Linked DNA regions of Xenopus tropicalis. Each later gene encodes a partner of the first gene's protein in a complex. Links are inferred from orthologs where the notes say so. Each region holds a gene or a part of one and is shown in the gene's direction. Other genes may lie near its edges.

Region 1 (3,827 bases):
TATTAACTGATTAGCAGCAAGCAAGCAGTCATGTCAGAGCAATCAATATCCATCAGCTTGTTTGGAGCATTCATTTAAGAGGCTTTCCGTAGGAGAAATCTTGCAGACCTTCCTTGCCATCAGATATACGTGGAGGTAAAACCTTCATAATGAATGTAGTGAGGAAGTTTTCCTTATATACATGTAAGTTGTATAAACTCCAGAACATTCAGTGTGTGATGGCACAAAGGAAAGTGTACAAGAATAGGTACTTAGCAAACAGCATGCATCTAAACTGCTAATATCTAACTCATTATTTGGTGATGGATTGTTGAAATAATTGATGTAATTTCTCCCCAGGAAACAGCATTTTTACTGGGGTTAGTAGTGGTTAAGCGTAGGTGGAATTGTGGAAATGAGTGGGGTCTAATCGGAATGGCCTACTCTTGGCCTTAGCCAGAAAAAAAACAAATATGTAATTTTCCATTCCTTGATTATTTAAGATCATGCCTCTTGTTGCGTCAGTGGGTTGTTTCTGAACAAATTGTCTTTGCATCTGTTCACTAATAGGTCCAAAGTAATGCAACTGCCCAATTTAATTTTATTGGGCAGGATGGAACATTCTGAGTTTTAGACTAGATTTCTGGGTTGTGAATCAACCCAGTCAGACCCTGCATGTAAGCCAAACAAGCAAATAGATCAGTCAGTGGCATGCAGGCTGAACCTTGGACAGTCACCAAGGTCTTTGACAGAATTTGGGAGGATTATAGCATCAATAGAAATTATCTAGTGGCACAGCAATTTTATTGTATGTGTTTTGGCATTAAAGCCTAAATGCGATTTGGGTGATGTCAGTGCTTAGCTTGGTTCTTCCTTACCGCTTTACTGATGCTTCCTTGCTTTCTATGCTATCGCTGCTGGCAAATTGTTTGCAGTGGGCACAGGCTCAGCACCGGGTTCCCAGTTTGGCTCAATGACCAGGCAGATCTCTCGGCACAACTCCACCACTTCCTCTGCTTCTTCTGGTGGCTACAGACGGACTCCTTCTGTGACTTCTCAGTTCTCTGGCCAACCTCATGTCAACGGCGGGCCTCTGTATTCTCAAAACTCAAGTAAGCTGCTTCTCTGCTTCCTATGCTGCCCTTGTATGCAACTCATGTATGTATACAACTCATGTATGGTGGCTTCATCCATGTTAATATGGAATAGAAATATGTTGGCAAAACACTCACATATTGGCTTAGTGAGGAATAACTGTACTTGGATAACATCCTGTAATCTACCTACTTCTAAAGCAAGGGGGTACTGGAAAGATTAAAGAAACACAGAATTCCAATATATACTCTATCTATAGGGGCTGTCCATGACCTGAAAAGAAGCCAAATTTATGTTTGATGAAATATTGTCTGCTAATATAATGAATTTTAAACAACACCACCACCTGCTGGTCATTTTGGCCAACTGGCTACAGTCAGCTGAAAATTAATTTGGTTAGAAAAGGAATGTCTTGTAACGTTGCTCTGGTTCGAAGCGACCAGAGAAGCGTCAGATGCCTCTTCTCTGCTCACTATCTTCATTTTCAAAGCAGATCCACATTACAAGACTTTCTTTTTGTCATAAAATTAATTTTCAGCTAATTGTAAAATTGCTCTGAGCTATTTTACATACATTTATTTCAAGGATTTATATTTAATTTAAGCCTTAATTGATTTACCAGCTGGTTTGCATGTTATGGCTGCAAGAGAAAATAAGCTGGGAAGAACAGGGCAGCTATCTTTTCTTTATTACTTATAGCAACATGAATTATCTTTTATGCAACAACTTTATATATTTTCTCATGCTGTTTTTTGTTTAGTTCTTATCTTGTCTTTTCCTGCAGTGTTTGTCTGTGCTGTGTGCTACGGCAAGATGTCACTGGTTAATGTTTTGATCAGTTACATGTAGAATGAAATATCAATATACTGTATATCAATACTTATAGCTCCAGGATAACCCCTCCCCCCCTTCCATTTCATCTAGAGCTCAATGAATTGGGCTTGTGCTGAACATATCTTTTGCCTATTATTTTAATTAAGGAATATCTATGGTTTTTGTTATTTTTTGCCTAGAACAAAAACTATAACCACTTTAACTTTCCAACTTCCTGTCTCAATTCATGTTTCTTCCTTGTTTTTCCTTGTCACTGTTTGAGAAGTAGTAGGTGGTAGAAATAATAATAAAAAAAAAAGAGAACAGTTCACAGATAAGCCCTCTGTATAATACACTGCTCCTTATCTCAAAAGCTTCAGCATAGGCAAGGGAGGGGTTTGTTTATATAAAGGTCCTTATATGCATTTGCACACCTGTTGGGGGGCGAGTGCTCCTATAAAATGCAACACAACTTTTAATTACTAGATTAATGAAAAGTATAGCCAGAATGCATTGTCAGCACAAGTCCTGTTTATTGTGGCCATGCTGAGTAAAGTTGTGTATAGGTATATACAGTCCCTTAACCCTTAACTGCTAAAGCCTTAATAACCCGGAACAACTGCAGTTCTCACTCACCATCAGCAGTCATGACATTATTTAAAGATCTAATTAAGCATAGTTTCATGAAGTTTTTTTTTCTCACATTACTTTTAGTATATAGAAGATGTAGGTAATCTAAGCAACTTTGCAGTTGACTTTTTTTTTTCTCAAAGATATATAAATGTGTGTAAAATGTATGTTTTCCCCCCTTCAGTCAGTGACACAAGTAATTGCATAGTGTTCACTGGAGAACTGTAAAACAAACTTATTGTATTCACATTAAAAAGACCAACTGCAAATTGTATTACAGTACACTGGCTGCATTATACTACTTACAGTAGCCTTGGCCTTCAATAAAGTAGTTATTTTGCACTGTTATGAAATGCTCACACAATTGTCTGTTTAAATGGGTGTGTAAATCACTGCATCTAAGTCTGTTGGTACTACACGTTGCATGTTATAAATAAAAGTTTACCCTTAAAGGTCCATTAATACAAATAAAATGGCTCCATATACATAAAATGGTTGTTGTGGGTCTGACAGACCATCAAGGGGTGTATATATAATTATCTTCTGGTGTTTGATTATTTTATATGGCGGCAACAAGTTCCACCCTGCTTACAGCCCCAAAGCCTAAATCTCCAGGCATTTGTATAAAGTAAATGGAACCATTTTTTTTGTTGGTCGCCCTTTAAAGGGATGGTCACAGCAGTTTCTGGCCTTACGCACCACAAGACCTGTCTGCCTCCTTTGTTTTTTGAATGCAGATTTTATGATGAAATGACAATATGGCTTGAATGGACATTTGCAGATCTACTGAGATAACTAGAATTGCCATGCATTAAAGGAGAACTAGAAGTTCTGAACCATATTAGATCATTTATATGCTATTAAGTGTCCAGCCATACAAATTTATTCAGCTGCTTTATAATTAGAAGTTGATATTACCCAGTTGCATCTTTTACTTTGAGCCACCTTGTGTGATCAGCTGACAGGAAATAACGCAGCTTCTAGATGTTACAGGAAGATGTGTGGGATTAAAAAAATAAAATACAACTCCAAACAATGTCCATACACTGGCTGCTGTACTAGCATGAATGTGTGCCCTTGGTTTGTGTGTAAGCAGTGCCTCACAAGAGCCAGAGGGATGGACTTTAGAACAGGTATGGGACCTGTTATCCAGAATGCTCAGGACCTGAGGTTTTCCGGATAAGAGATCTTTCCGTAATTTGGATCTCCATAACTTAAGTCTGAAAAAAATCAGTCAAATATTGAATAAACCCAATAAGAGTGTTCTTGGGATCAAGTACAAGGTACTGTTTTATTACAGAGAAAAGGAA
Region 2 (3,827 bases), on another chromosome or scaffold:
ATGCACACTTAGCTTCTCAAGTGGTGGGCTAAATATGTGAAACACTGTGGTTTGCCCCTTAGAGTGCCCCTTGTGATGACATTATTGGCCTAGAACAGTGCTGTCCAACTGGCGGCCCGCGGGCCGCATGCGGCCCGCGACCCCCCTCTGTGTGGCCCCCCACCTGTCTGGCTGCTTTGATGGCTTACTCTTGTGTAAGCTTTAAATGGTATCAGTACTGTGATTAACTGGCCCCCTGCATGGTTCTCACCTCAGATTCAGGCTGTAATCCCCCTGTATTGTTTAAATATGTAATCCCCTGTGTTGTTCACACCTTTTAGTTTCTGCATTGTTCACCCCCTGCAGTGTTCACACCTCAGGCTCAGACTGTAATCACCCCCATTGTTCCCCTGTTCACACCTCAGGAGCAGTAGAAACCCACAAATAATCCCTGCACACTACAAAAAGAACATATACTGAGGTGGTACTGCAATTAAAAAGTTTTTTAATATATAGTTATTGTGCAGACTGTAGGAGCAGTGCCAGCATTGTGTCACTGTAGGCTGCCTGTGTGTGCCATACACACAGGCATCATATGGCAAGCAGAGTATGGCACACACAGGCAGGGTAGGGAAGGCAGAGTATGGCACACACAGGCAGAGTATGGCACAAACCAACCAAGAATGGCAAACACAGTGAAAGTATGGCACACGCAGGCAAGGTAGGGAAGGCAGAGTATGGCACACACAGGCAGGGTAGGGAAGGCAGAGTATGGCACACACAGGCAGGGTAGGGAAGGCAGAGTATGGCACACACAGGCCAAGTATGGCACAAACCAGCCAAGTATGGCACACAGGCAGGGTAGGGAAGGCAGAGTATGGCACACACAGGCAGGGTAGGGCATGCAGAGTATGGCAGGTTTTTGCTGTACTACAACCATTAATATGGGTATGGTCATGTGATAACATGGGTGTGGTTTCAAGTGGGTGCGGTTTCAAAAAGGGGAGTGGTTTCCATTATCGGCCCTCCACCACGTAGGTCGGAAAAATTCCGGCCCTCGGTACAACAGAAGTTGGACAGCACTGGCCTAGAATATCAAAATCTGCCCAAGTAGGCAAAAATCAATATATCATTATATAGTAAGCATATGTCACCAAGGTGGAGGCAGTTTACATGAAACTTAACCTTATTGTACCATTTTACTGGTTCCTAACTACTTGTTTACTTGGGGTAAAATAGCAATTTAACACTAAATCCCTTACAGAAATGCATTTGCTATTCAGAATTCTAAGCAATTATTATCTGTCACTTGTTTCCTCTTATAATGTATATTCATATCTCTATTTTTCTCTAATGTATACTCTGCTGCATAACAATTAGCTTGATACCAGTTGTTCAAGTTTACCTGTTGCTACAGCCTCCACAATCCCATGAACACCCACTGATGTGAGTTGACTGCTCAGTGTCAATCATCTTCACATACAGTTTCTTTGTATGTTACAAAGAGAAATTGTACAAGTCATAGATGGGGAAATCCTGCCCTACACATTCTGGGTAGTGTTCTGTACAGATGCCCTACGATCAAGAGCTGATAGTTTGGTATCATGTGATGCATGCAGCTCGGTGTGGTGTTAACGCTAAAGAGGAAGTGGAAGCAGTCATTTTGGTAGCTCTGAGGGGGGCTGTCTTTTTTGGTTTGCTTTTTAAGGGAGGGAATGTATTGTTTTCCTCCTTTAGTGCCTATCGGGCTGGTAAGCAGTAATCAAGGTGTGTTTGCTTATACCTGCTATCACTGTCCTCTATATGTGTTACACTAAGTTGTCTCCTTTAGGCTTTCATGGAGTCCCAGCTGTTGGCCTTCCCTATATAAATTCATTTTATATATTCATATGAATACATGGAGGTTTTTAACATACAAATAGTTGTAATTAGAGAGAGGCAAGAATAGTGTCGGTTCATGTGTTGAAGGGGTTACAGCTGCAGTATCTTGCTGCAGGCTCCAAGCTGTAACCAATGAGCTGGGGAGGAGGGGTGTGCCAGCCTCTCACACCTGGCTCTCTTGGCAGTTGTCTGTCCCTAATCCCTTCAGGGCCTGCAGCCTCCTGCCTGCGTGATCAGGCCAGTGCTAGCCTCTGAAGTGGGAGGAAACAAATCCCTGCACACTGAGTCATCCCTTTGACAGTAGCGAGTAGCTGGGACTTAATGTGTGTTTGTGTGTTTCAGTCTGTGTAATTCTGTATCTGCCTGTATCTCTGCACACACACATAACCAGTATAAAATGCATGCATGCAGCACATACTTAGTCAGCCTGCTATCTCCCGTGGCTCTAAGTGCATGCTGGGAATTGCTAATTAAGGATGTCCGGCAGAGGCTCTCCTCCCCCCTCCTCTCTCTCTCTCTCTCTCTCTCTCTCTCTCTCTCTGCCAAAGCATTACATCCTCCTGTCTATCCGCATAGCTATCCAGAACATTCTGCTTCCCTGCAACACCCCCATCCTTCCCTACCTGTGACTTGTACAAGGATTCACAACATGCTCATTATCAGTTTATACAGACTTGGCATCAGTATACAGAGCAGTGCGTGTGCATTATCATTGGGTTTGGGCACTGTGTCATTCTACAGAAGTGCTCAGAAATACAAATCATATTTATAATATAAATATATATATATATATATATATATTGTGCTTATTCTTACTGTGTAGCATTATGCCTTATGCAAAAACATGTATAGCAATGCACTACTTTCCATCACAGAGCAGTGTGATTATTACCAGTATGTGATGCTTATTGTTAGATAGGGTGTGTGGTGTATGTGCTTTTGATTATCTGTGTACCATTCTTGTGCTCTGCTAATGAAGACCATGCTAGGTACATTAATAACAGAGGGTTCCAAGCTTCTCTCTAATGTAAATATTACAGCTGTATAGAACATGTTTCATTGCTCATCCTTTACCCTCCTTTTGCTTTCTGGGATTTCGTGTGCCACCCCAAGCCCCAAAATGTGTTTTTTTTTTTACTGCTACAAAATCCGTTTGTATTACCACTTCATCTGCTTTTCATCCTTATTTTTATTTCCTTGACTTTTCTCTTATGTTCCCTTAGGATGCCGCTGGTCGCTCGATGTATTGAGCCGCGCTTCCTGTGCCGGCAGAAGCTTCCCCCTGTCCGCAGTGAACTGGAATGTATGACCAACCTGACTCTGTCCAATGTCATCCGCCAGCTTGGAAGCCTAAGTGAGTGACACTGGGGAAAGAGGAGGGGGTAAAAGATTGAGGACTTTGTGCAGGAGAAAGTGAAAAGGTTATAGATCTTGGGCAAGAGAATTCTATAGTAAAGAGATAGCAGAAATTGCACCTTTTTATAAATTTATAAGAGATAATGAGAAGATTGGTTACAAAATATTGTGGGGATGGAGATAGGAAAACAGAATAGTAAACATATATCTATCTGAGTTTTTGATGTTAACCTAACTATTACTGTATGCCAGTCGTTTTCCTTTTCTTCCTTTTCATTAATCTTTTCTCTTTATTTTATGGATTATTTCATCCTCTCTATATCTGTATTTTTTTCTTCTGTTCTCTTTCTTCCTCCCACACCTCAATCTCATCTCTGTCCTCCAGTGCATTTTCTCTCCCTTTGCCCTAGTGTCTTTCCACCTACATTATATTCACCCCTCCTTTTCAGGTCGCTATGCAGAAGATATATTTGGAGAGCTTTTCAGCGAGGCTAGTATGTTTGCACACCGCGTGGGATCTCTGGGGGAAAGGGTGGAGAGACTTCAGGTGAAGGTGACCCAACTGGACCCCAAGGAGGAAGAGGGTAAGAAAAAGAATCAGAAATACCTCC

What was found.
Region 2: abi1 (region 1) and wasf2 share a complex: the UniProt entries of both Homo sapiens proteins name them as parts of the WAVE2 complex. The link is inferred for Xenopus tropicalis from reciprocal best matches to the Homo sapiens genes ABI1 and WASF2.

Annotation. Positions count from the first base shown.
Region 1 is NC_030682.2:24,995,787-24,999,613, forward strand, and holds part of abi1 (abl interactor 1), read left to right. Parts: intron 1-914; coding exon 915-1,091; intron 1,092-3,827. UniProt on the Homo sapiens protein: May act in negative regulation of cell growth and transformation by interacting with nonreceptor tyrosine kinases ABL1 and/or ABL2. May play a role in regulation of EGF-induced Erk pathway activation. Involved in cytoskeletal reorganization and EGFR signaling.
Region 2 is NC_030678.2:78,043,178-78,047,004, reverse strand, and holds part of wasf2 (wiskott-Aldrich syndrome protein family member 2), read left to right. Parts: intron 1-3,083; 5' UTR 3,084-3,084; coding exon 3,085-3,214; intron 3,215-3,665; coding exon 3,666-3,800; intron 3,801-3,827. UniProt on the Homo sapiens protein: Downstream effector molecule involved in the transmission of signals from tyrosine kinase receptors and small GTPases to the actin cytoskeleton. Promotes formation of actin filaments. Part of the WAVE complex that regulates lamellipodia formation.